4 linked regions of the Anolis sagrei genome follow. The protein of the gene in region 1 purifies or fractionates together with the protein of each later gene. This does not show direct contact. Links are inferred from orthologs where the notes say so. Each region holds a gene or a part of one and is shown in the gene's direction. Other genes may lie near its edges.

Region 1 (7,873 bases):
GAGATTACACGGGGCACGTACTAAATGTGTTCCTTCTTAACTAAAACAGCCCATGAATACTTTCAACTAAGGTTTATCAGTGGATAATGGTTATAACGGTTTGGGTGATAGGATTTCTTTCCACTACACTCCCAGGTTTCTGATTGGTTTGGATTTCAATGGGAGATCCCCCCAACCCCCCCAAAAAGTATATTTGAGATATCAACAAAGGTTCAATTAAGTACATTACTCTCTTGGGGCATCTCCAGTTTCAGACAGGAACATAGAAGGTATCTTACATTGGTTCGTTGATCATTGGTCCCTCTTGCCTAGTATGGTCAATTCAGACAGCAGCTCTCTAGGGTTTTTAGGCCAGTTACTCCTCTAGCCCTTTCTTTGGTTCCCGTAGTAATCTAGAGCCCCACTGCCCTCACATGCCCTTTCCCTTAGGCTGGATCTACACTGCTATATAATCCAGTTTCGGAATCAATATTATCTGCTTTGAACTGGATTATTTGGGTCTACACTGCCAGTAACTGGATTATATAGCAGTATTGATGGGGCTTCATGCAGCCCCCAGGGAACATCGTTTTGCATTACTGATTTATCACATGAAACCAGTATGTGTGCATTTCAGCTTATTTTAGAAACAAGAAGTTTGGTCTTGTCCATCCATAGTTTGTTTATTAAACTCTTGACAGTGCATTATGGAAACACAAGGACTACCCGTATAGACTCGAGTATAAGCCGACCCGAATATAAGCCGAGGCACCTAATTTTACCACAAAAAAAATGGGAAAATTTATTGACTCGAGTATAAGCCGAGGGCGAGAAATGCAGCAGCTACTGGTAAGTTTCAAAATAGAAATAGATACCAATAAAATTACATTAATTGAGGCATCAGTAGAGTAAATATTCAAAAATATTTACATAAAATTGTAATTTAAGATAAGGCTGTCCAACTCTGATTAAACCATTATTCTAACCTTCTTCAACGTAAATGTGCTCACATATCCTTCCAATAATAATAAAGGGAGTAAAATAATAAATGTAATAAAAATAATAATAGAGTAAAATAATGGAAATGTAATAACAGTAATGAGAATAAAATAATAAATGTAATAATAACAATAATAAATAGAGTAAAATAATAAATGTAATAACAATAAAGAGTAAAATAATAAATGTAAGAACAACAATAATAGAGTAAAACAATAAATGTTATAATAACAATAAAGAGTAAAATAATAAATATAATAATAATAATAATAATAATAATAATAAATAGAGTAAAATAATAAATGCAATAAAAATAATACTAATAACAGAGTAAAATAGTAAATAACACTGACTCGAGTATAAGCCGAGGGGAGGTTTTTCAGCCTAAAAAGGGGGTTGAAAAACTAGGCTTATACTCGAGTATATTCAGTATTTTAAAGTCTGTGCTGATATCAATGTCACAGGTGACCAAAGTGCCTGTGTGAGAAATGCTGACTTATAATTTCATATTTTTTTATCCACTTGGAAATAAGCTTTACTAGGATCAATGAGATATTTCACTCCTATAAGTGGAAAGTCAACTAGGCTAGTGGTTGGAACATTGGGCTACAATTCTGGATTTGAATCTCCGCTTGACCTTTAAACCCAGTGAGTAATGCTGGACACATCACATTCTTTCAGCCTCAGAGGAAGGCCATGGCAAACCTCTTCTGAACGAATCTTACCAAGACAGTCCTGTAAAGGGGCTGCAACAAGTCAGAAACAACTTGAAGGCATATGGCAAGTGGAGTACAGGCAGTCCCCAAATGTACACTGAAGCTTTATCACCAATCCTTGTTCCACAGAGTTTTTGTTTTGGCCTGGAAAGTAAAAGCGATGACTGTTGTACTCCAGAACAGGGATAATCCTCTGACTTTAAACACCACACATTGAATAGGAAAAAAACAATCCTTTTATTAAAGATAAGTAAAAAGCAGCAAAGAAAAAAGCTCTTTAAAGAAATGTTGTTGTTGTTCATTCGTTCAGTCGTCTCCAACTCTTCGTGACCTCATGGACCAGCCCACGCCAGAGCTTCCTGTCGACTGTCACCACCCCCAGCTCCTTCAAGGTCAGTCCAGTCACTTCAAGGCTGCCATCCATCCATCTTGCCCGTGGTTGGCCCCTCTTCCTTTTACCTTCCACTTTCCCCAGCATAATTGTCTTCTCTAGGCTTTGCTGTCTCCTCATGATGTGGCCAAAGTACTTCAACTTTGTCTCTAATATCCTTCCCTCCAATGAGCAGTCGGGCTTTATTTCCTGGAGGATGGACTGGTTGGATCTTCTCGCAGTCCAAGGCACTCTCAGAACTTTCCTCCAACACCACAGTTCAAAAGCATCTATCTTCCTTCGCTCAGCCTTCCCTAAGGTCCAGCTCTCACATCCGTAGGTTACTACAGGGAATACCATGGCTTTGACTAGGCGGATCTTTGTTGCCAGTGTGATGTCTCTGCTCTTTACTATTTTATCGAGATTGGACATTGCTCTCCTCCCAAGAAGTAAGTGTCTTCTGATTTCCTGGCCACAGTCTGCATCTGCAGTAATCTTTGCACCTAGTAATACAAAGTCTGTCACGGCCTCCACATTTTCTCCCTCTATTTCCCAGTTGTCAATCATTCTTGTTGCCATAATCTTGGTTTTTTTTATGTTTAGCTGCAACCCGGCTTTTGTGCTTTCTTCTTTCACCTTGATTAGAAGGCTCCTCAGGTCCTCCTCACTTTCGGCCATCAGAGTGGTGTCATCTGCATATCTGAGGTTGTTAATGTTTCTTCCAGCAATTTTCACCCGAGCCTTGCATTTGTCAAGTCCCGCGCATCGCATGATGTGTTCTGCCTACAAGTTGAATAGTTGTTGTTGTTTTTGTTTTTTTGGGGGGGGGGGGTTGTCGTGTCAGGAGCAACCTGAGAAACTGAAAGTCGCTTCTGGTGTGAGAGACTTGGCCATCTGCAAGGACGTTGCCCAGAGGATGATTTGATGTTTTATCATCCTTGTGGGAGGCTTCTATCATGTCCCTGCATGAGGAGCTGGAGTTGATAGAGGGAGCTCATCTGCCTCTCCCCGAATTCGAACCTGCGACCTGTCGGTCTTCAGTCCTGCTGGCACAGGGGTTTAACCCACTACGCCACTGGGGGCTCCGTAGCTGTATAGGTTGGGTGAGAGTATACAGCCCTGCCGTACGCTTTTCCCAGTCTTGAATCAGTCTGTTGTTCCATGGTCAGTTCTTACTGTTGCTACTTGGTCTTTATTCAGGTCCCTCAGGAGACAGACAAGGTGATGTAGTATCCCCATACAATGTAAATTGGTAGAAAAGTGGGTAATGAACCATCTAGATTTGGTGGAGAAGGTGCTTGCAGTTCTGGAGGGACTCTAATTTTTCTTCTCATAGATTTGGCATGGAGATTTGTTTAACCAAGAAAAATTCATGGGAAATTTTTCAGGTGTGGTTTGAACCCCTAAAGCAGGGGTCCTCAAACGTTTTAAACAGAGGGCCATGTCAGAGTCCCTCAAACTGTTGGAGGGCCGGATTATAATTTGAAAAAAAAAAGAATGGATTCATATGCACACTGCACATATCTTATTTGTAGTGCAAAAAACACTTAAAAACAATGCAATAATTAAAATGAAGAACAATTTTAACAAATATAAACTTGTATTGTCGAAGGCTTTCATGGCCGGAATCACTGGGTTGTTGTAGGTTTTTTCAGGCTATATGGCCAGGAGAGAAATGCCTCTAGACCAGGGGTCCTCAAACTAAGGCCCGGGGGCCAGATGCGGCCCTCCAAGGTCATTTACCTGGCCCTCGCTCAGGGTCAACCTAAGTCTGAAACAACTTGAAAGCACAACACAACAATAACAATCCTGTAAATGCTCCCCTCTCATTCCTTTTATAACTTCCCAGTCGTCTGATATTTGTTATTAGCCGCCCCCTATTTTAGATTCATACATGCACTTTAAACTGTAAGTTTAGTCTGTTTTATCTTTTTAATTTGTCTCTTTTATAACATGTTTTTAGTCTGCTTTTAATCTGCTTTTATACTTACTTATCTACTTGGGAACTATACCTACTTTTATACCTACTATCTACTTGGGAACTGCGATTCCCTTCCTTGGGCACCGATGCCCCATTCTGTACTGTGCTGGTCAAAGACCGTAATAAATCATTGATTGATTGAATAACAATCCTATATCATCAGCCAAAAGCAGGTCCACACTTCCCACTGAAATAATAATAAGTTTATATTTGGTAAAATTGTTCTCCATGTTAATTATTGTATTGCTTTTAAGTGATTTTTTGCAGTACAAATAAAATATATTCAGTGTGCAAAGAAATTAATTCATTTTTTCAAGTTATACTCTGGCCCTCCAACAGTTTGAGGGACTGTGACCTGGCACTCTGTTTAAAAAGTTTGTGGACCCCTGATCTAGACCATGGCCATCTAGCCCGAAAAAACCTACAACAACCCAAATATAAACCTATTCGTATTTCAATGGCAAGTGCGGGCCTGCTTTTGGCTGATGAGATAGGATTGTTGTTGCTGTTGTGTGCCTTCAAGTTGTTTAAGACTTAGGTTGACCCTGAGCAGGGGCCGGGTAAATGACCTTGGAGGGCCATATCTGGCCCCCGGGTCTAAGTTTGAGGACCTCTGCCCTAAAGGCTTACTTGCTCTATGTTTTTCTCTATACATCTATCTACCTGTGGCTATGATATAGCCTGATTATTATTTTTTGTCAGAGGGGCGGGTTTTAATCAAGAGCGACAAGTATTCCCGCCAATAGCGTCGACGCTGCCGGGGAACCAATGAGCGGCGGAGCTTTGTGGAATGGCGTGGCGGGCAGCCAATGAGAGGGCCGGGCCCGAGTCGCAGTGGGCGAACGGCGACGGAGAGTAGTTGGCGGTCGCCGTTGTGTGCGAGGGAGAGGGAGAAGGGCCGCCGCCGCCGCTGCGGGAGGAGGAGGAGGAGGAGGAGGAGGCCTTCCCTCCCTCCCGCCATGTCGCTGCACGGGAAGCGCAAGGAGATCTACAAGTACGAGGCGCCATGGACCGTCTACGCCATGAACTGGAGCGTCAGGCCCGACAAGCGCTTCAGGCTGGCGCTCGGCAGCTTCGTGGAGGAATACAACAATAAAGTAGGCGGCGGAGAGCGGGGAGGGAGGAGGGAGGGAGGCCGCGGGTGAGGCGCCACGCAAGGCCGGAGGCCTGGCCCCTCTCCTGCCTGCCTGCCTGCTGCGGGAGGCCTCCCTCTGCTTCTCCTCAGGGAAAGGCAGAGGCTGGACCCCTTTTCCACAGCCACATCTCCCGCCGGGATTTGTAGTTCCGTGTGGCTGTCGATCTCTGCCAAATACCTCCCCAAACTACACATCCCATCACCGCGTAGGCCTTAGTGACAGTTGGGGCGCTTATTCCAAGCAGAAGGCTCCACAGGGCCCTTCCACACAGGCCTATAACCCAGAATATCAAGGCAGAAAATCCCACTGGGTTATCTGAGGCCCCTTCCACACAGCTGAATAAAATCCCACATTATCTGCTTTGAACTGGAATATATGGCGGTGTGGACTCAGATCTATATAAATAAAAATGTAATGTTCGTTTGTGGGATTAATATAACTCAAAAACCACTGGACGAAATGACACGAAATTTGGACACAAGTGACCATCACTCATTTAAAAAAAAACACACAGCAAAAGGGACTTATAAAGCCACCCCCCCCCCAAAATTACATTACAATGCATGCACAAAACCACACATCTCTGCCAATTACCTCCCCAAACTACACATCCCATCATCGCACAGGCCATAGTGACAGTTGGGGCATTTATTCCAAGCAGAAGGCTCCAGAGGGCCCTTCCACACAGCCATATAACCCAGAATATCAAGGCAGAAAATCCCACAATGTCTGCTTTGACCTGGTTATCTGAATAAAATCCGACATTATCTGCTTTGAGCTGGAATATATGGCGATGTGGACTCAGATAATCTAGGGCCCTTCCAGACAGGCCCTGTATCCCAGGATCTGATCCCAGGTTTTCTGTTTATCCCAGATTATCTGGTAGTGAGGACACATATAATCTATATAAATAAAAATGTAATGTTCAATGTATTGTCGAAGGCTTTCATGGCTGGAATCACTAGGTTCTTGTGGGTTTTTTCGGGCTATAGGGCCATGTTCTAGAGGCATTTCTCCTGACGTTAGGCGAAACATCAGGAGAAATGCCTCTAGAACAGCGTTTCTCAACCTGGGGGTCAGGACCCCTGGGTGGGTCGTGAGGCGGTGTCAGGGGGGTCGCCAAAAACCATTAGAAAACACAGTATTTTCTGTTGGTCATGGGGGTTCTGTGTGGGAAGTTTGGCCCAATTTTATCGTTGGTGGGGTTCAGAATGCTATTTGATTGAAGGTGAACTATAAATCCCAGCAACTACAACTCCCAAATGTCAAGGTCTAGTTTCCCCAAACTCCGCCAGTGTTCACATTTGGGCATATTGAGTATTTGTGCCAAGTTTGGTCCAGATCCAACATTGTTTGAGTCCACAGTACTCTCTGGATGTAGGTGAACTACAAGTCCCAAAAGTCAAGGTCAGTGCCCACCAAACCCTTCCAGTATTTTCTGTTAGTCATGGGAGTTCTGTGCATCAAAATTGGTTCAATTCCATCGTTGGTGGAGTTCAGAATGCTCTTTGATTGAAAATGAACTATAAATCCCAGCAACAACAACTCCCAAATGACAAAATCAACCGCCCACCCCAAATCCCACCAGTATTCAAATTTGGGCATATGGGTATTTGTGCCAAATGTGGTCCAGTGAATGAAATACATCCTGCATATCAGATATTTACATTATGATTCATAACAGGAGCAAAATTACAGTTATGAAGTAGCAATGACAATAACACTATGTTTGAGGGTCACCACAACATGAGGAACTGTATTAAGGGGTCGCGGCATCAGGCATCAGGAAGGTTGAGAAACACTGCTCTACAATATGGCCCTATAGCCCGAAAAAACCCACAAGAACCTAATGTAATGTTCGTTTGTGGGATTAATATAACTCAAAAACCACTGGACGAATTGACACCAAATTTGGAGACAAGACACCTATCAGGCCAATGAGTGACCATCATTCATTTAAAAAAAAAGACACAGCAAAAGGGACTTAAAAAGCAAAAAAAAAAAAAAACCCCAAAATTACATTACAATGCATGCACAAAACCACACATATATACGTAAACACACAAAACACATAGACACAGACTGGGCCACAGCAATGCGTGGTAGGGGACGGCTAGTCTATATAAATAAAAATGTAATGTTCGTTTGTGGGATTAACATAACTCAAAAACCACTGGGGGAATTGACACCAAATTTGGACACGATACACCCAGCAACCCTATATATGTCCTTCACTAAAAAAAAATTGATTTTGTCATTTGGGAGTTGCAGTTGCTGGGATTTATAGTTCAGCTACAATCAAAGAGCATTCTGAATCTCACCAACGATGGAATTGAACCAAACTTAGCACAAAGATCTCCCACAACCATCAGAAAATACTGGAAGGGTTTGGTGTTGTCCTTTGGTTTTGGAGTTGAAGTTCACCTACATCCAGAGATCACTGTGGACACAAACAATGATGGATCTGGACCAAACTCTACACGAATACTCGATATGCCCAAATGTGAACACTGGTGGAGTTTGGGGGAAATAGAATCTTGACATTCGGGAGTTGTAGTGGCTGGGATTTATAGTTCACCTACAATCACAGAGCATTCTGAACCCCACCAATGATGGAATTGAACCAAACTTAGCATACAGATCTCCCACGACCAACAGAAAATACTGGAAGGGTTTGGTGGGCAGTGTCCTT
Region 2 (6,881 bases), on another chromosome or scaffold:
TGAATCTGGGGAGCGGTGTGAGCTTCTGCTGTCAGCCCCAGCTTCTGCCAACCTAGCAGTTCAAAAACATGGAAATGTGAGTAGATCAATAGGTACTGCTCCGGTGGGAAGGTAACGGTGCTCCATGCAGTCATGCTGGCCACATGACCTTGGAGGTGTCTACAGACAACACCAGCTCTTCAGCTTAGAGATGAGCACCAACCCCCAGAGTCAGACACAACTGGAACTAATGTCAGGGGAAAACCTTTACCTTTACAGGCTATTTCAAGAACTATCTGTTTATATGAGTCTGCCAGAGTCTTATGATATTCATCAGATGGCTTTCTCTCTGTCTGACCATGCATTAAGGTTTGTCTCATGAACACACAAGAGAGAGTCTTCTTGGAAGCTGCTCATAGTCTTTGGGACTTTCTCCTGTGGGGATCTTGGTTGGTCTCTTCTCTGTCCTATTTCTGCCAAGAGGCAACTTCCTTCTTAATGAAACAGGTCTTTAACTGGTTGTAGTAGTCAGATATGCATAGATGTGCTGTTATGTCAAAATCTGGTTTTTATTTTTAAATTGATAAATAGCATCTTGGATGGATTTGTTGTTCAATGCTATAACCTTTATACCATATAATTCTTTAGCTATTATGTTTTAGCTTGCATTGTAAGCCTCTTTGAATCCCACTGTGGGAGAAAGGCAGGATATCAATAGTATAAACTTGTCTTCCTTTTCCCCTGTCCTTTGTTTTCCAGTCCCCTAGTGCTGGGCAATCTCTGGGATGTGACTGACCGAGACATTGACCGCTTCATGCAGGCTCTTCTGAAGAACTGGCTGAAGGCAGGCTCTGGAGCTCCTCTGCTCCAGTACATCATTCAGTCACGCCAGGCACCCAGACTGAAATACATGATTGGTGCTGCTCCCATAGCTTATGGACTCCCAGTTTTTCTACAGTAGAAAAGACAAGAGCCTGGTGGGAGACATTTGGAAGGATCTGGATAAACTTTTCTTGACTCTGAGTACTTTAATTGCAAATTGCCTTTGGAGACAAAGGATAAAAATGCTTCAGATGCATTTTTGGTGTATAGTAGGAGTATATATTTTGTTGAAGGCCTATATTGTTTTTAGACAAAATGTTTCTACCTGGGCTGCTCTTTCAAGTATTTAAGATTTGCACAATGTACACATTTTTAATTTCAGAGAGTATTATGAATGTTTCTTAAAAGCTATATGAATTTTAATGTTTCAAAACCTAAATAAAGTTTAAAGCAAACAATCTCCCCCCCTCCGTGTGTTTGCACATGAATCATGCACTATTATCATTGGCATTTGATTCTTGGGAAGTTATATCTAATCTTGGATGGCTGTCTATCTAGTTCTAAATTTAAATCTCCGATTTTGTCCTGGCCAATCTACTTTTGCTAACATTTCCAGTCTTGCTATTAAAATCAAGCAAGGTGAGAAAAGAAAGGTTAATGTTTTATAATTGTGTGTGTGATTGTAATTTCATAGTTTTATCATTTTTAGATTATTTATTATTTATATGCGGCACTTCGCTGTGCTTTGTTAGCTGCCCCGAGTCCTATTGGGGAGATGGTGGCGGGTAAAAATAAAATCTATTATTATTATTACAATTATTATTATTAAAAGAATAATGGATTAAAATGGCAATGAAAATAATAAATGATGTGATCTTGTGTCGGGGTAGCCTAGCACAATGTTTCTTGCCTTCATTTTTAACAACAGGTTTTAAACATTACTTTTTTAAATTTCATAACAGCTAGTTATGAAATTTAAACTGCAAAAAACTATTTATTATTGCATGGCCATAGCAATAACGACAAACAATGGGGCTGCAGAGCATTTATAGTAAATGGAATATACATTTTCATTGGTTCCCAAAGACAAATCATTTCATTGGTCTAAGCTAGCTATGCAGTTGTTCATTAGTTGTTTATGATTTTGATTGACATTTTAGCACACGTGGGATCCTAACAATGGCACAACTATAACATAACTATAGTCCATTGTTCTCTGATCATGACTGTATCTTATCTGTTAGTCTGTTGCAAACATGGCTTCAAAGCGACTGGGAAACTTGGGGGTTCTAACTAGCCAACAGCTACCTGGTTTTGTCCGGATATGTTGTTATCCTTGAATAGTAACTTCTTCTTTGGAGCACTGATTTCTCAATCAGCATTTTCTGTGAACATAGGCCTACTGCAGAAATAGGCCAAAATGGTAGTAAATCATGACATATAGGCATTGGGGAAATATCTGAAAATTCCCTTTTTAAAACTACGTCTCCTCCAGTACCAAATGAGAGCCCCCCCCCCCCCCCCCCCCGGGCACACAGAAGACTGGGTGACTTGGAAGGCGCCGAACAGACTGCGCTCTGGCACCACGAGATGCAGAGCCAATCTTAAGAAATGGGGCTACAAGATGGAATCCACGACATGCGAGTGTGGAGATGAGCAAACCACTGACCACCTGCTGCAATGCAACCTGATCCCTGCTACATACACAATGGAGGACCCCAGGTGGTGCAGTGGGTTAAAGCCCTGTGCTGGCAGGACTGAAGACCGACAGGTCGCAGGTTCGAATCCTGGGAGAGGCGGATGAGCTCCCTCTATCAGCTCCAGCTCCTCATGCGGGGACATGAGAGAAGCCTCCCACAAGGATGATAAAAACATCAAAATCATCCAGGCGTCCCCTGGGCAACGTCCTTGCAGATGGCCAATTCTCTCAAACCAGGAGTCACTCCTGACATGACAAAAAAAATATGGAGGACCTCCTTGTGGCAACACCAGAGGCACTCCAAGTGGCCAGATACTGGTCAAAGGACATTTAATCAACTACTAAGTTTGCAAACTTTGTGTTTTGTCTGTTTGTTTGTTTTGTTATAAAAATGTAATGCTCCTGACACGATAAATAAATGTCTATGCCAGAGTTTTTAAGGTTGGCTTTGAGTCCATCTTTAAATCTCTTTTCCTGTCCACTAACATTCCGTTTTCCATTCTTGAGTTTCCCAAGCAAAGAATGCCCCCAGGAAGCAACAGCCAGGTTTTGCAGCTGCAAGGCTGCTCAATGCTAATCAATTTGTTAACTGTAACATTCACACTATCTTTAAACAGACAAGGGTTTTTTCTCCCACCCTGGACATTTCCACAGATGTGTGTGTGTGGGTGTATGCGTGTGTGTGTGTGTGTGTGTATATATATATATATACACACACACACACACACATATATATATACACACACACACACTCCATTTGCTTCATAGCCAACAGAACTTCTGAGGAGGCCGGCCACAGATACAGGCAAAACGTCAGGAGAGAATGCTACTGGAACATAGCAATACAGCCCGGAAAACTCACAGCAACTCACAGTCATGGTGGCTATGAAAGCCATCAACAACAGAATACTAACTTGGGCCAGCAATGAAATGGACTGAAGGTATCCATATATAATACAGTTCGACACCGCTTTAACTGCCACGGTTCTAGGCTATGGAAGCCTGGGATTTGGTGAGGCGCCAGCACTTTGTCCAAGGAGGCTAAAGACCTTGTCAAACTACAACTCGCAGGATTCCATGGCAATTCAAAGTGCCAAAGCACATGAATAAGTAATTGTGCTTTGAATGCAATATTCCTGCTTCTTGGCAGGGGGTTGGACTGGATGGCCCATGAGGTCTCTTCCAACACTATGATTCTATGATTCTATTATGCAGCATCCCACCGTTTCCCTTCTATCTCTCTAGGAGGCGCCTCGCTCGCAGGCCGGAAGTGAGGTCATTGTGGCCAACCTTGCCGTTTGCTGGCAACAGGGCGTGGATTGGGCTAACGTCATAGACGCAGTGACCATAGACTCGACTGCTAGCGCGTCTTGAGGAGGAACGGCTCCTTCTTTCCTTCCTTCCTTCCTTCCAAGATGGCGCAGCAGGTGAACATTTCGGAGCTGTCCCTGCCGCAGCTGGAAGTGCTGAAGAACCAGTTAGACCAGGTGAGGGAGAGGAAAGCGGGGGAAACAGGGGCCTGGTCTCCCTCTGGACTGCCCCCCCTAGAGTTCGTCTGCACTGTGGAATGAAAACTGTTCTATACCACATTAATTGCCAGGTCTCACTTCTATGGAAGAGTGGGAGTTGTCGTTTTACCCGGCCTGCCAAAGAGGGTGGTGCTTCACTGAACTGCAATTGTTAGGATTTCATAGCATTGAGCAACGAAGCAGCTAAAGTGGTGTCAAAGTGCCTTAATTTTGCAGTGTAGATGCCCCGCTAGGATCAGGATGCGGGGTAGAGGGCAGGCCCAGTGTGACACCCTCAAGATCTCCAGGGGAAGGTTACAATCTCAAGGATTGATATCTTTCAGAGCGTAGATAGAATCATAGAATCAAAGAGTTGGAAGAGACCTCATGGGCCATCCAGTCCAACTCCCTGCCAAGAAGCAGGAATATTGCATTCAAAGCACCCCTGACAGATTATTATTATTATTATTATTATTATTATTAAACTTTATTTATACTCCGCTAGCATCTCCCGAAGGACTCGATGCGGCTTACAAAGGCCAAGGCCTCAACCCAACAACAATAGACAATAACAGTACGATACAAAGCAAATTAAAAACATAAGCAATAAGAAAACATTACACTATTACGCAATAAAACCAGGGCCGGGCCAATGAAGGGTACATATTAAAAAGTGCTGGGTGTGAGAGGTGGTGTGTTGGAATTCTGGGCAAGTGCAAGTGCAGAGAGTCTTAAACTCTACTGGGACATAGAGCTGGGGGTTATCCTATTCTGGAAAGGCACATCAGAATAGCCAGGTCTTCATGTTCTTCCTAAAGACTGCCAACATGGGTGCTAGTCTAATGTCTTTGGGGAGGGTGTTCCAAAGTCGGGGGGGGGGGCAACCACAGAGAAGGCCCTGTCCCTCGTCCCCACCAAACACGCCTGTGACGCAGGTGAGATCGTAAGCAGGGCCTCTCCGGATGAACGAAGGGAGTGCGTGGGTTCATAAATGGAGATGCGGTCATGCAGGTAAGCAGGTCCCAAGCCATTTAGGGCTTTGTAGGTAAGCACTTGCACCTTGAATTGGGTTCGGTAGATGGCCATTTAGCCTCTGTTTAAAAGCCTCCAAAGAGGCTTCCTGGCCTCCACCACACTCCAGAGCAGAGCGTTCCACTGCTGAACGGCTCTCACAGTCAGGAAGTTCTTCCTCATGTTCAGATAGAATCTCCTTTCTTGTAGTTTGAAGCCATTGTTCCGTGTCCTAATCTCCATTGAAGCAGAAAACAAGCTTGCTCCCTACTCCCTGTGGCTTCCTCTCACATATTTATACATAGCTATCATATCTCCTTTCAGCCTTCTCTTCAGGCTAAGCATGCCCAGTTCTTTAAGCTGCTCCTCATAGGGCTTGTTCTCCAGACCCTTGATAATTTTAGTCGCCCTCCTCTAGACATATTCCAGCTTGTGCTATTCGTTTAAATGGCACCTAGATGATCTTTTGGTTTGAATGTTGGAACTGATAACAACAACAACAACAATAATAATAATAATAATAAATAAACTTTATTTATACCCCGTCACCATCTCCCCAAAGGGAACTCGGGGTGGCTAACATGAAGCCAAGCCCAAAAATAATACAGCAGAGTTCAAAACAAAGCAACAGAAAAATTACATCACAGCAAAATACATAAAATAACAGAATAAAATAAACTGTGCAAAATAACATAATATAAATCAAACACAAAGGACAGGCCAAATGCGTGAGCTAAAATGTTAAAACCCTGGAAGAGATAGGAGTAAAAAAGTGTATTGAAAAGTGTATTTGTGATGGAGGAGCCCAAGAAGGGGAGCAGTAGGGTTTGGCCTTTATTAACTGATGGGTATTAGAGTCCAACAACATCTGGAGGACCACGGCTTCCTCATTCCTGGCTTAGAGCTGGGAAGTTCTCTATCATAAGAAAAAGGATCCCGTTCTTCGATAGAAATGGTCATACTTAGTTTGAATATTACCTTCTATTTGTGTAAAAGGAGCAGACGATATATGTAAGTCTGCTCCAAGTTTTTGCTGTGAAATGTGTTTGCATGTGCATGAGAGAGAAAAAAACAGAATACCTAACCAGGGGGATAAGCATACTGAATCACCACATGTCTATTAGGATTCTATACACTTTCTTTCCATTCAGTCTTTCCCTTCTGCCAAATGACTGTGCTGTCAATGTGACTTGTCATACAAATCTGCCATGGCTTTTGGATGGAAGTAAATGGTATTGTAATGAAGTAGTCGTTTCAATCCTGTTCTTCTAGACTGGGGTGATGAATGTGTGGCTTTCCATTGGTCCTAGCCAGGGTAACCAACAATGTCTGTTGTTTAGAAATACTACTCAGCAACATTTGGAAGAACCACAATTTTCCCATCTCTGGTCTAGATGTTCACGGTGTAGTGCTCCTGGTGGCAAATATTTCAGAATACCTACTTCACATGCAGCTGGTTGCTGGAGGTGATGGGTCTTTAACTTCTGAATTTTGTATGACTTTTCCTAGGAAGTGGAATTCCTTTCTTCATCCATTGCACAACTTAAAGTGGTACAGACAAAATATGTGGAAGCAAAGGACTGCCTGACTGTCTTGAATAAAAGCAACGAAGGCAAGTACTGTGTATTGTTCAAATATATATGCTATTCTCCTCAGAGTGAGCGATGAAAATAAAGCCAAAAAGAACCAATGAATTCAATAGGCACACTTTTTAGTAAGTAGATGCAATGGAAAAACCGACGTGACTTTTTAAAAGTGATTGAGGACAGATGTAAATTCTAACCATCTTTCTAATCAGCTAAGGAGAATGCTACTGGAACATGGCCATACAGCCCGAAAAGCTCACAGCAACCTAACCAAAA
Region 3 (7,151 bases), on another chromosome or scaffold:
TGCTTCCAAACTGAAGTTCATTTATATTTGCTATATTTCATCTTCTAAGTATGTGAATCACATACAATATTTTCTTTTTCCTTTCTCCTTATTTCCACGGGATAATTGTGAGCATTTTATATGGGGCGGTGGGAGAAACAATTCAAGTGCCACTTTAGAAAAGGGCCTCATGGACAGACTTTGGAGAACGACTATGCTACCCTGTAGCTGGGTTATGCAGTCAGGTTTTCTTTCAACAAAAACAAGAAGCCTGTTTGCACTGAAATCAAAGGAATACTGTGTCTTTCTCCTCGGGGTCGCAGAAGCACTTCCATTGTCTTCTCTGCCAAGCACCTCCCTGGCAAGCCATGCTAGTGATCTCACTGGCTTTGAGGTCAAAAAGAGGTGCTCAGCTATGAGTTCTCATCAAAATGAAGCATCCAACTTTGAGATCAATGGTGAGGGGGGGGGGGTCAATTGGGCTATCCCCTCACCACTGATGTTTTAGCTGAGTTCGTCATTCTGACCTCAACAAAAGTTATCTGGTCTTAAAGCAAGCTTCAGATTGTGGCTAAATCAGACTGAATGTTTCCTCCATACAAAAGGATTCATATACACAGTGTGATTTAGTTCTTTCAGTATATTGTTTTAATTGGATGAACTGGCCCTGAAAAAAAAACACAATAAAGTCACAAGAATAAGAATGGAAGAACAAAACGTGTGTGCTCTCAGAGGTAATATAAAATAGAAAGAAGGCAGCAGGCATTTCATAAAGAACTAATAACAGGTGGAAATCCCAAATATCTGTAAGAGAGTTCAAACACCAAACTTCAGCGGGTAAATTATCCCTCAAATACCAAAGAAAAGCAAACATTCACATCTGATCACCCTACTGCTATGGGCTCCTGACAAAATCGTAATGTTATTTTTTGATGCAATATATCTTGATTTATTTTAATATTTTGATTGGTGTGTGTGTATCATGTTAATATTTTTTCACCAGGGAAACAGAAGGCTTCATATGTTCTTACTTGTTACCTGGAGTATCTCTTCAAACCAAGTGGGAAACAAGTGTTTTAAAAAATAAATAAGACCTTTGAAAGAACCAATATGCCAGTGATTTACTAATTCAAATACTACTTGGACTTCTCAATATCACTCTGTGACAGCCTTTCTGTATATTTTACACAACGAAGCCCACAAAACCTCTCAATTCATAAGGTAATGCGCTTCAGAGAGATCTGGTGAATTCAAGAAAGTATGTGAAGAACACATAGTTTATTTGCTTTAGGGAAGGCACACTTTGCCTCTAATCTTGTTAGAGGTAAAGTCTAAAGTTTTATTGGCTAAGAGTGTTTATGTTTTCTGGAATGGTAGAAGGAAAACTGTGGTATAAAGGAAGAAACTCAGACAAGTTCTGCCAAAAGAGAAAGCATATGAAATTATTTATATGTCACCTCTGAAGGCCACTTCACATAAATTAGAGACCATACACCCCTCCATACGTGGTTGCACTGCAATTCCCAGCATTACTTCCCATTAGCTATGCCAGGTTGAACTGACGGAAGTTACAGTCCAAAAATATCCGCAGGGGCACATGATCCCACAAGCTGAATGCAAGCTGAAGCCATTCATTAGGGTCTGGCATGCACTGTAGATGCCCTGTAGCTGTTTTCAGCAATGACTAACACAACACACCTCTACTACATCATCACAAAGTTCCTACATGAATTTTGCTATGAAGTAGATTCAACACATAAAATAAGATAATTCAGCACTAACTGGTGTCTAGTTCTAGGAGATGAAGAGATAAATCCTTTTTTAAAAATGTGTGCTTCAGATTGTGAAATCAGATTGAATGTTCCTCCATACAAAAGGCTTTGTACACAGAGTGTGCTTTAGTTCTCCCAACAGGTTCAATATACCTGTTTAATTGGGTGAACTTCTTGCGGCAACACCAGAGGCACTCCAAGTGGCCAGATACTGGTCAAAGGACATTTAATCAACTACCAAGCTTGCAAACTTTGTGTTTTGTCTGTCTGTTTGTTTGTTTGTTTGTTTGTTTTGTTCTGTTAGAAATGTAATACAATAGTCTGGTTGCCCCTGACACGATAAATAAATAAATTGGGTGAACTGCCCCTGGAAAAAAACCCATCATACAATTACAAAACAATGACAAAAAAGCAGAAGCTGACAATATCTCAAAGGCAATATTAATAAATTATTCCTCAAATACCAAAGAGAATCAAACATTTACATCTGATGGCATATATGAGTCCATGAATGCCAACTCCTTAATAAATCCAGTAGCCCTCTGCTTGCTACATACCTAATTTTGGAAAAACTTGTTGGGGAAGCTGTGACTGCTGCGTGTACAATATTAAGAAAATGAGCACCTATGAATACAACATGCCGTTGGTGTTAGTTATTAATGTGACCAACACTTCTACCATAATAAGACTATGATTTAAAAATAAACCCATGCACAACTTATTTTGGAAGAGAGTCTAGCAAACTCAGTAGGACTTTTGAATAAATACTGCCAAAGTGACACCTGTTTGTGATTGTGCTTTTCAGTAACAAGATCTTTATATGAGTATGTGAAACATATTTGAGGCTATCATTTTAAGCAGTAGTTCCCAACCTGTGATCCATAGATCACCAGTGGTACGCGTTACTACACCATTGCAACAAGAGCAACTGGTCTCACGAAACTCTCTTATACTGTTGAGATTTATTAAATGCTAGCTGTCCTCTGCCACATGTTGCTGTAGCCCAGTCTGTGTATGTGTTTTGTGTGCATGTATATATGCATATGTGTGTGTGTGTGTGTATGTGTGTTTATGTATATATGTGGTTTTGTGCATCCGTTGTAATTTTTGTTGGGTTTTTTTTTTTTTTGCTTTTTAAGTATCTTCTGCTGTGTTTTTCAGTGTTTTTATGAGTGATGGTCACTTGTTGGCCTGATATGTGTATTGTGTCCAAATTTGGTGTCAATTCATCCAGTGGTTTTTGAGTTATGTTAATCCCACAAACGAACATTACATTTTTATTTATATAGATGGTTTTCTGTGAGTGAACAGATCGCGACTACTGGATGGTACACGTTCTGTATCAGAAACTAGAGCTGATGTGGTCTACCCAATTCAATTTTCTGAATCAGTCCCCCAAATAACCAAACCGAATCTAAAGTTGACAAAACTGATTTGTAACCCTTTTGGTATTAATGCTGTAGAGTGGTCCCTGGTCAAAAAAAGATTGGGAATCACTGATTTCGACGGAAAGAACCACTTTTTTCTTTGATGAAGAAACCTTACACATTTGTCCTAAGAAACAAGCAAAGCAGCCCAGAAAAGATGAACCCAAGACAAACAAAACGCTCAATGAACAAACTTCCCAATCTGATCGTATCCTGAGTAAAGGTGCATCTACACTGTAGAATGGCATGAGTTTAACTGCCATGGCACAATGCTATGGAGTCATATTTTGGTCAGAGCACAGCACTCTTTGGCAGTCAAGGCCACAATTCCCAGGATGACACTGCATTGAGCCAGTTGGAAAGAAGCCCTTCAGTTGATAGAGAGGATACTATTAAACTATTCTATATTTATATCCCTCTTTCCCTCTAAAATGACTCCCGAGTAGTTCACAGTTCAAAAGAACGATACAATGAAAGGCATACAAAACGAGAAGGCGTTAGGCTGAGTGTGAGGCCGGCTCCCCAAGGAGGCAGGAATCGTGGACCACCCCGCCCCAACAGAACCGTTGAGGGCTCCCCAACCGCCCCACCTCGCGCGGGACTCACCAGCGGCCGGGCCACATCGGAGGAGGCCATGACAGGCGAGACAGCAGGGAGGGAGGGAAGGAGGGGTCGCCGCGCGGCGGAGAGGACGGGCGGAGGAGCGCGAGCGCAGCCCTGCTCCAATCCCTGCGGCTGGAATGCCACACCACAACGCCGGGGAGGGAGGAAGGGAGGGAGCGCGAGAGAGAGAGAGAGGCCTCGCGGACAGGGAGGACGCGCGCTCAGCCAATCACATTCCGAACAGGCGGGGGATGCTGTCGCAGCCAGGGCACCCGAATCCAACGGGCGCGTGGGAAGGGGAGGGCGGTGTTCGAGCGGGGAAAGGGGCGTGGCCTCCAGGAAAGGGCGGAGCCAGAGCGACGGGAAAGTTGGGACGGAGCCGGAGAGGCCACGCCCTCTTTGCCGTCGCGGGTGTCACGTGGGGGAGGAGCGTAATGACGGAGAAGGAGTGGCGGGAGGGGGAGCGAAGAGGGAGCCGTGATTTGGTTTGTGCGAAGAGGAGGAGGAGGAGGAGGGCTTTAAGCCGGGGATGAGGAGGCGCAGCGCCACCAGGAGAGGCGGGAGATGGAGCCGGCGGCGGCGGCCGAGGAGGAGGAGGACGACTCCGCGGTGGGGTTGAAGGCGGCGGGCGACCCCGGGATGGAGCTGAGCCAGGAGGCGGTGCTGGGCTTTTTGGCGGAGCGGGGCGGGCGGGCGCGCAACGCGGAGCTGCTGGAGCACTTCCGCGGCTGCCTCAACTCCCCGGAGCCCGCGCGCCGCGCCCAGGCCCGCCAGCGCTTCAAGGAGATGGTCAACGCCGTGGCCGTGGTCAAGCAGGAGCCGCGCGACGGCGGCGCCAAGTACGTGCAGCTGAGGAAGAAGCACTGGAGGAGGAGCGGCGGGAGCGGCGCCAGCACCAGCAGCAGCACCAGCAGCATCGCCCAGGGCGCCTCCGAGCCCGCCGGAGGAGGAGATGAGAGAAGCAACAGGAGGAGCGCGGAGGAGGAGGAGGAGGAAGAAGATGCTCCTGCGGGTGGAAGAGCAGGCCTGGAGCCCGAGGGGGGGAAGCCTGAGGAGGAGGATCCGGGAGCCCCTTCTCGGCTCTCCTCCTCGTCGTCGTCGTCGTCTTCCTCGGGCCTGGCGCTCAAGAAGAGCCGCCGCCTGGGCAGCTCTCCTCAGATGAAGCGCGGCGGGAGCGGGGTGTTTCCCCGCGCGGGTGAGTGGGAGGAAGAGGAGGAGAGCGGCTCGAGCGGCCCCTCGTCGGTGGCGCTGGACCCGGTGGAGCACGCGTGGATGCTGCTGTGCGCCTCGTGGGAGGGCCGCTGGGAGAGCCTGGAGGCGGTGCTGAGCGGCGAGCCGGCGCTGCTGGGCCGGCGGGACTTCGTGACGGGCTTCAGCTGCCTCCACTGGGCCGCTAAGCACGGGCGGGCGGAGCTGCTGGCGCGGCTGGTGGGCTTCGCGCGGCGGCGCGGGCTGGCCGTGGACGTGAACGCGCGCACGGCCGGCGGCTACACGGCGCTCCACCTGGCCGCCATGCACGGCCGCCTCGAGGTGGTCAAGCTCCTGGTGGGCGCCTACGACGCCGACGTCGAGCTGCGCGACTACAGCGGGAGGAAGGCCGCCCACTACCTCAGCGCCGGCGCCGCCGGACTCCGCAGTCTCATGGGCTCCCTCCACGACGGGGGAGGCGGAGAGGAAGGGGAAGCCGGGAGCGGGGCCGGCAGCCGCAGCGGAACAGGAGGAGGAGGAGGGGGGCGGTGGCGGCTCTCCAAGGTGCTCCCCACTCACCTGCTCGCCCACCGGCCCGCCCACCACGAGGACAGCGAGCTCACCGTCGCCTCCTTGCCCGCCGCCGCCGCCGCCGAAGGCGCCCTGTCCGCCGGGAAGCTCAGCAGGAAGAGCTCCAGCGGGAGGGCCAAGGCCCGGCTCCACAAGGTCCGATTCCGCACCCAGATCGTCCACACCACGCCGTCGTTCCGCGTGGAAGCCGAGGCGAACGAGGAGGAGGGGGGAGGCGCGCCCGAAGAGAGGCCCCTCAAGGGCTCCTTCAAGCTCCGGCCCAAGTCCAACGTCTTCGGGTAGACTTTCTTTGGTCGTGTCAGGAGCCTCAAGTCGCTTCTGGTGTGAGGGAATTGGCCGTCTGCAAGGACGTTGCCCAGGGGACGCCCGGATGTTTTGATGTTTTACCATCCTTGTGGGAGGCTTCTCTCATGTCCCTGCATGGGGAGCTGGAGCTGATAGAAGGAGCTCATCTGCGCTCTCAGCGGATTCAAACCGGCACAAGGGTTTAACCCACCTCGCCACCGGGTAGACTGAAGGAGCAGGAATGGTGTGTTATCCCCAAGGAGGTTCGCCTGGCCACCCCTGACACTGCCTCCCCCGGGCCTTGGCACAGAATAGCCAAACAGGAGGGAGAAGTATTCTAAATAGGAAAGTTCAGTGGTGCAAGAGAAGGCCGCTGCACTGCTCCTTAAGGGCTTTGGAAGAAGGGAGACTGGCAGGTATTCCTGAGTAGGTGAACTACTTATACCTGCTGGCACCCCCCCCCCCTCCCCACACACACACATACACACACACAAACTACCCAAATTCAGTTTTGGGGGAGCTTGGCCATGCAGAACCAAACAGGAGGGAGAACAGTTCTGAATAGGAAAGTGCCAGAGATTGGACAGGGTCCTGTGGTGCTACAGAACGTCATTGAGCTGCACAGGAACAGTACAATGGCCACCTTTGGCACCACTGGACTTCCCAGTCAGAATATGTCTCCCACCAGTTTAGCAATTCATCATGATCTTCCTCCAAAGCCCCATCTGGGAAGAAAACTTGGCCAAGGTAAGAATTTGGGACTCTGAACACTGACATTTCAAAACAATGTGCAACTGAGTGTGTTGTCAAAGGCTTTCATGGCCGGAATCACTGAGATGCTGTGAGTTTTCCAGGCTGTCTGGCCATGTTCCAGAATTATTGTTTATTTATTTACAGTATTTATATTCTGCCCTTCTCACCCCACAGGGGACTCAGGACGAATTACAATGCACATATACATGGCAAACATTCAATGCCATAGACATGCAACATATATAGACAGACACACAGGCAATTTAACATTCCAGTTTTCCAGTCTATGCTCGATTCCGGCCACAGGGGGAGCTGATGCTTCACCATCCACTTGTGACACCAAGTCCTTGATGGAGTACTTCCTATTCTTACACACAAAGGTTTTATGGTGTCATTAATTAGTTAATTTAGCCTTCCCGCATAAAGTGGTACGGAAATTTCCTACTTGACAGATGTAACTGTCTTTTGGGCTGCATAGGTCAACAGCAAACTAGACTATTAATGGTCGGGAGCTCACTCCGAACCGGGCTGGCTTCAAACTCATTACCTCTCA
Region 4 (7,142 bases), on another chromosome or scaffold:
TTTAAAATGATCTCAGTCTCCCAACATGTTGCAATGTGCAGCATTCTTACCACTTATTTGGAGTAATTACTTAGACTACAATTCCCAGAATGCTCCAGCCACTGAGGAATTCTGGGAGTTGTAGTCCATAACTTCTGGAAGCACTGTCTATAACTGAGGAATCTCATCATCTAGACTAGTGATTCCCAACCTTTGGTTTTTCATGTTTCTTTTTAAAATTTCAGCTCCCAGAATTTTTGAGAGTTGGCAATGCTGGCTGGGGCTTCTGGGAGTTGGAAGTCCCAAACAACTGGAAGACCAAAGACTGGGATCTAGACAACTTTCATGGGTGGTATGAGATTCCTCTTGTTTTCTTTTGTTTGGGACACCTATCTGGATAATTATTTTTTCTCCAGATCCCCTTCTGACAGCTGCAGAAATAAAGCAACATTTGCAAATGTGTCATAGTTATATAACCATCCCTCTCGAAAAACAGCAGCAGTAGCAACACTACTTTCCAGCCTTCAGGTTTGCAGTCCCACACATTGATATGCTTCACTTGTATAGGATTGAGTTGCACTATACTGTAATTCGAAATGTGCTGAGAATAGTTCTTTAAATAATGGCATTGGCACATAGCATAGTTCTTCTGCTGGATTTTTGACATCTGATTTAGCTTGCTTCTATCATTTTCCTTCTTCCTCTTCTTTGGAACACAGATCCCCTTTTATGGGTTTTGGTGCTGATTCCCCTGTTTCTGATAGCCATGCAGCCATACCCCTAATCACAGCTCGTGAGAACACCTGGTGCTATCTTCCTCCATACTAGGATCTTTGTATCAAAGCCCCAAATCTGATCCAGTCAGTCTTGGCACAATAATGTGATTTCCATACTGCACTAATTACTCTTCTGTGCTGTGCCCTAACCCTGCCCTCACGTATTGGCACTCTGGGGTATCCCTCTGGCTTGTCTCACAAATGTGTCACTTGTGAAAAGGTGATGTAGTAATGCCCAGGTGACAAAACAATCTATCTCACACTCCTACAAAGACAACACAAATGCAGTATGGAAATGTGGGAGTGCTTGCTGTAGAATTGTTTCTGGTGCTTCTAGATCTCCCCTGAAGAGTGACTGTTACTTCATGCCACTTGGCTGTTGTGTGCCATGTATTGCTTCCAACCAGCCAATAAATATCATATTGAAGAGATCTTCTCTACTCTTTTGTGTGTGCACGTGTGTGTTCTCTGATGCTAAGTAGCCTTTCTTGCAAAATTCCCCATAACTCAATAGTTGGATTTCATACCTAATAGAAGGGTTGTGGTTTGTTCAAATTCTGGCTTTATTGTAGAATTAATACAATAATAATAATAATAATAATAATAATAATATATTTATATTCCACCCTTCTCACCCTGAAGGGGACGCAGGGTGTATCACAAGTACACATACACGGCAAACATTCAGTGCCATTTTGTATAGACAGTACACAGACAGACAGCACAGAAGGAGGTGTTGTTTCGATGCCATGGATGGTTGGGTTCGAGTCCACAGGGGGTGCTGTCGCTCCATCCTCTATGACAAAGAGCCATCAGGATTTCTTCATTCCAGCATTTCCTGATTTTTTTTCTTTATGGCGTAAAACACCTCCCCCGCTTTTAGCAGTACCTAATTTCTCTAATTACAGCTAAAGCTGTTTCGAACTGCTTAGGTAAACAGTGAACAGGGCTTACAGTCAGCCGCTCATGCTGACCCGGGGCTTTTGATCTTGCAATCTTTCAGTTGATAAATCTTATAGTTGCTGATGATTTACCAACTGTGCAAAGCCTCCGTACAACACAACTGTTAGAAAATCATGGGAGCTGGCATTTTGCAAAAGCATTAGACTTCTCTGTCAAAGAATGCTGGTGCTTCATCAAACTACAAATCCCAAGATTTGATCCCAGTTTGTCACAGGTCAGAGTGGAGAGTCGTAATTGGCACTATGAAGTGCAGCTGCAAGATAATGTCTCCACTTCAACAGACTACAATAGCCATATGGAAGGTATTCATTACGGAGAATTCTGAGCTCATGCCTGCTATTCCCAGATGTTTGAGGTAAGGTAGTGTCTGTTTCCATAATCTTATGCTGACCCCGTGGACTTCATAGGATATTCTTAGACAAGGAATACTCACAAGGGGGTTTGACATTGTCTTGCTCAGAATTATAGCTTGCAACACTTAATATTAAATTTGCACTCCCATGTCCAGATAACAACCAGCCTGGCCCAGCTTATCTTCTAAGGTCAGATGGGATCTGGTGACTTCATGTTACTAGGCGTGTTTGTAGTTGTCTGTCTTAAAGTAATTTCTGAGTTATGGCAGCTTTAAGGAAACTTATAAAGAGATTATCTTGGCAGGGTTTATTCACAGATTTACCATTTATTTTGGGGGTCTTCCACACAGCCCTATATCCCAGAATGTCAAGGCAGGAAATCTGACATTATTTGAATGTGGACTCTGGGCCCTTCCACACAGCCCAATATCCCAAAATATTAAGGCAGAAAATCCCACAATATCTGCTTTGAACTGGGTTATCTGAGTCCACACGCAGATAATGTGGAATTTCCCACCTTGATATTCTGGGATATAGGGCTGTGTGGAAGGGCCGTTCCTCTTGAGAATGCGACTTGCTCAGCTCCACAAACTGGATTTGAACCCTGATTGCTCAGAATCTTAGGGCCTTAACACACCATATTGTTAGAGCACTGTATTTCCACTTCAACTGCTAATTTACATGGATGCAATTAACATGGACGCAGCGAATCATGAGATTTCGTCCTCATATGTTACAAGTGTGTATTGTTGTTGCTAGTTTTTCGTAGTTGCCGATTTTTGGTATTTTAGCTACAATGTTGAGCTATGATCTAGCATGGGATAAAATCCATGGGGGTTATACACACACACAGTGTGATATGGCCTGTTCACTGGGTAACACCAACCCACAACAGTTAAAGTGGTAGGATAGCCCCGTAACAGTGTAGTGTGCCAGGTTCATAAGGGTGCATCTACACTGTAGAATTAATGGCGTTTGACACCACTTTAACTGCCAAGGCTCAGTGCTGTGGAATCCTCAGAATTGTAGTTCTGCAAGGTCTTTAGTCTCCTCTGCCAAAGAGTGCTCATCAGACTTTTACTTACTTACTTTACTTAGGCGATCCCTCGTAGCTTGAGGGTGACGGTCTTCCAGATGTGGCGTGTTGGCGATGGGTCTGTAGGTGGCTGTGGAGCCCTATTCTTGATCCACATGTTCTCAGCGGTTTCCAGATGGAAGACGGTCCCAGTCAGGGTTGGCTTGGCGTGCCTTCCTCTTGGCATGTTTCTCCCTTTCACTCTCAATTCCTGCCTCTTCAAATTCAACAGCACTGCTGGTCATAGCTGACCTCCAGCTGGAGTGCTCAAGGGCTAGGGCTTCCCCGTTCTCAGTGTCTATGCCACAGTTTTTAAGGTTGGCTTTGAGCCTCATCAAACTACTGCTTCCATGATTCCATAGCATTAAGTCATGACAGTTAAAGTGGTGTAAAACTACATTAATTTAGTGTAGATGATGAGATAATAAATATGACCGGCACATGCTCAGAGACATATATGTATAAAACATTTCAGGGTCGGCCTCTAGAAATGAAATAATTATCTTTGAAGGCTTTCATGGCTGGAATCACTGGGCTGTTGTAGGTTTTTTCAGACTATATGGCCATGTTCTAGAGGCATTCTCTCCTGACGTTTCGCCTGCATCTATGGCAGGCATCCTCAGAGGTTGTGAGGTCTGTTGTACATGGCCATATAGCCTGAAAAAACCTACAACAGCCCAGAAAGAATTATCATTCTTATTATGGAGTAGTCAGTAAAGGCCTGTGACTTGGGGAGGGGAAAGAGGGTGGGTGGGATGAGGCACAAATTTACAGTAACTGCAGATTGTTACTGTAGTGTGATATAATGTACATATAATTGTACAAAATGTGGACATTTAATATTAAAAAAGAGAAACAGATGATACACAGCCCAGCCAAGCAAAGCATTACAAGAGCTTCCTCTCCACGCAGTTTTTCCAGCACTTCCTCCTTTGCAACGTTCTATCCCCGCCCCTTCTGAAACCACGTGACGCAAAGAACCAGCCAATCAGAGCTCTCTGCTGCTTTATGAACTGGTGTGGATGGATGCAAAGCAACTGCCTCGGTGGAAGAAGGGAGTGGAGAGAGAGAGAGAGAGAAAGAAAGAGAGATCTGACCAGGTGGGCGATCCTCCAGAAGGCTAGGATTTTGGGTGCATCCACACTGTAGAATTAATCCAGTTTGGCACCACTCTTGACTGCCAGGGCTCAAGGCATGGGAGGGTGGTTTGACAAGGCTTTAGCCTTCTTTGCCAAGTGGGGCTGGTGCTTTACCAAACTCTGAATCCCAGGATTCTATAGCAGTGAGCCAGGGCAGTTAAAACGGTATCGAACCGCATTAATTCTTTGCAATCTTTGTGGTTGGAGAGTGGTGCTCGCCTGGCATTGGAAATGTGGGGCTGCATTTCTAAAAAGGTGGAAAAGAAGAGTCGTGGGGAGAAGGGCTATGGCATGAGCAAGGGAAGGGAGGCAGCTTGGTGTAATGGTATGAGCGCCCACACTGTGGAATAAATGCAGTTTCATCCCACTTTAACTGCCATGGAGCCTTGGGAGTGGAAGTTTGGTGAGGCAGCTTGGTAGCAATATGAGCATTGGACTAAGGATGTGCCTACACTGTGGAATTAATGCAGTTTCACCCCACTTTAGCTGCCATGGAGTTTGGTGAGGCACTAGTATGCTTTAGAATCCTAGTTGGAAGAGACCTCATGGGCCATCCAGTCCAACTCCCTGCTAAGAAGCAGAAAATTGCATTCAAAGCACCCCCGACAGATGGCCATCAAGCAGGAGAATGGTTTCATAAACCTGTTTCTCTTATTACTGGGATGAAAAGCATATTCTGTATTAGGCTAGGCTTAGCCTAACCAGGCTGGGCTGTGCCAGTTTCCTCCTTTTTGTGGCATCTCTCTGGGCAGCAGCGGTGTCGTGGCTGCTTCTCTGAAGGAGATTTGGAAAGAGCTTAGGAGCCATCCCAATACCAGGCCTATTCTTTCTGAACTGCCTTTTACTGATGGCAAATAATGGTGGCCTCAGATCCATAGGGTCTTTTAAAAACTAGCGAGGAGTATTTATCCTAATACCAGTGCATGTTCTGGTACTTTCATGAATAAGTTGATAGGACGTTATTTATTTATTTACTGTATTTGTATACCGCCTTTCTCAACCCGAAGGCTGAGTGTTGTTGTTGTAGGCTTTCATGGCTGGAATCATTGGGTTGCTGTGAGTTTTCTGGGCTGTATGGCCATCTTCCAGAAGCACTCTCTCCTGATGTTTTGCCCAGATCCATTGCAGGCATCCTCAGAGGTTCAGGGGTCTGTTGGAAACTACACATACCTCAAGCAGAGAGTTCTTTCCCCCACCCTGGACATTCCACGGATAAATAAACCTCAATTACTTAGGTTGTTGTAGGTTTTTTATGAGGTCCTCACAACCTCTGAGGATGCTTGCCATAGATGCAGATGAAACGTCAGGAGAGAATGCTTCTAGAACATGGCCATATAACCCGAAAAAGCATACAACAACCCAGTGATTTCGGCCATGAAAGCCTTCAACAACTCACTTACTTAGTTTCCAACAGACCCCTCAACCTCTGAGGATCCCTGTTATAAATGTGGGTGAAATGTCAGGAGAGAGTGCTTTTGTAACATGGCCATACAGCCCAGAAAACTCATAGCAACTCAGTGATAAGATGTTGAATGTTGGTGATCATTCTGCAACTTGAGAGGAAACAGTGAAAAGCTGACTATACAACCAGGTTTTATGTGTCTGGTATGTATTGAGATATCTTTCATTACTGAGTAAGACGGGATGGGGAGATTTATACAGTTACTCTACCTTGAGCTGACTGCACTATGACTGGAAACAGTCACAACAATTTGGGGAAAAAATTATATTATTCATACAAGTCTTGCTGCACTACTTGTTTCTCTCTCCCTCCCTCCCTCTTTCAAAACTTTAATTAAACAATAATACAGGTACAAATACTGACAGAAGAATCAGGACAGTTCTTCTAAATGGCTCACATTGGGAAGGAAAACCAGCAAGAAGCCTTGCCTCCCGCAGATCAGGCAACAAAAGAGAGTGTTGTGCTTGCGGCAAATGCCTTCAGCAGCAGCAAGATCCCTGTACTATCCAAAAGCAGGCTGGCACCCAAACAGCAGGTATGTGTAGCAGAGCTGCTTTTCTTATAATCTAAATAGTGTTCTGTTTTGTTTTTTGTTTACTTTGCTTTGCATCAGAAATGTTTGTACTATGCTGCACCCCGCATTTTGTAGTATCAAACCTCCTTAATTTCAATATTCTTATTTACAAAGGCAAACGTGGATGAGGGCCACTTGTTCTTTGCCAGTTTTTGCCCTCCCTCAGCTGCCCATAGCCCCCCTTTTTAAAACCAGAAGCACCTGACTGTTCAGGGCCTAAAATAGTCTGGGGTTATGTGGAGGCGGGTAGGTGAAATACCATTAAATGGCCAGTAGCACACACAGAAAGTTTCAAGGAAAAGAGTTTTTATGGTAAGCTAAAATTTGCCTTTTTATGCTAACATTCTTTCCAGTAGGTTGGGTTGAGACTGGTGATCTGCATAATTCCCATCCTTGCTCTAGACCAGGCCTGCACAACCTGGGGCTCTATGGGTGTTTTGGACTTCATTTCCCAGAATTCTTGACCATTGAAGAAGCTGGTTAGGAGATGGAGCCTAATAATAATAATATTAATAATAATAATAATAATAATAATAAATCCCAGTTGTGATTATTATTATTATTATTATTATTATTATTAGATCAAACTGCAAAGAGTCTGGCTCAAGATAGTACAGGTGGTCTCAGTGGTGATCGGCATACTGGGTACAGTGCCTAAAGACCTTGGCCTACACTTAAACACAAATGTTACTGACAAAATTACAATTTGCCAGCTGCAAAAGGCCATCTTACTGGGATCTGCACGTATTATTCGCCAATGCATCACATAGTCCTAGACACTTGGGAAGTGTCCAACGTGTGATCCAATACAACAATCAGCA

Evidence for each region.
Region 2: the proteins of DCAF7 (region 1) and PFDN5 purify together in Homo sapiens (affinity purification with mass spectrometry; 3 studies listed by BioGRID and IntAct, with this or other methods). This does not show direct contact. The link is inferred for Anolis sagrei from reciprocal best matches to the Homo sapiens genes DCAF7 and PFDN5.
Region 3: the proteins of DCAF7 (region 1) and SOWAHC purify together in Homo sapiens (affinity purification with mass spectrometry; 4 studies listed by BioGRID and IntAct, counting the BioPlex papers as one, with this or other methods). This does not show direct contact. The link is inferred for Anolis sagrei from reciprocal best matches to the Homo sapiens genes DCAF7 and SOWAHC.
Region 4: the proteins of DCAF7 (region 1) and TROAP purify together in Homo sapiens (affinity purification with mass spectrometry; 3 studies listed by BioGRID and IntAct, counting the BioPlex papers as one, with this or other methods). This does not show direct contact. The link is inferred for Anolis sagrei from reciprocal best matches to the Homo sapiens genes DCAF7 and TROAP.

The regions. Positions count from the first base shown.
Region 1 is NC_090026.1:51,932,723-51,940,595, forward strand, and holds the start of DCAF7 (DDB1- and CUL4-associated factor 7), read left to right. Parts: upstream 1-4,868; 5' UTR 4,869-5,004; coding exon 5,005-5,142; intron 5,143-7,873. UniProt on the Homo sapiens protein: Involved in craniofacial development. Acts upstream of the EDN1 pathway and is required for formation of the upper jaw equivalent, the palatoquadrate. The activity required for EDN1 pathway function differs between the first and second arches.
Region 2 is NC_090022.1:187,059,863-187,066,743, reverse strand, and holds the start of PFDN5 (prefoldin subunit 5), read left to right. Parts: upstream 1-3,869; 5' UTR 3,870-3,915; coding exon 3,916-3,987; intron 3,988-6,528; coding exon 6,529-6,631; intron 6,632-6,881. Other genes in the region: ESPL1 (separin), read left to right, coding at 739-940. UniProt on the Homo sapiens protein: Binds specifically to cytosolic chaperonin (c-CPN) and transfers target proteins to it. Binds to nascent polypeptide chain and promotes folding in an environment in which there are many competing pathways for nonnative proteins.
Region 3 is NC_090023.1:107,817,933-107,825,083, forward strand, and holds the start of SOWAHC (ankyrin repeat domain-containing protein SOWAHC), read left to right. Parts: upstream 1-4,151; 5' UTR 4,152-4,345; coding exon 4,346-5,842; 3' UTR 5,843-7,151. Other genes in the region: SEPTIN10 (septin-10), read right to left, coding at 3,785-3,814.
Region 4 is NC_090022.1:145,668,215-145,675,356, reverse strand, and holds the start of TROAP (tastin), read left to right. Parts: upstream 1-4,137; 5' UTR 4,138-4,246; intron 4,247-6,096; 5' UTR 6,097-6,135; coding exon 6,136-6,282; intron 6,283-7,142. UniProt on the Homo sapiens protein: Could be involved with bystin and trophinin in a cell adhesion molecule complex that mediates an initial attachment of the blastocyst to uterine epithelial cells at the time of the embryo implantation.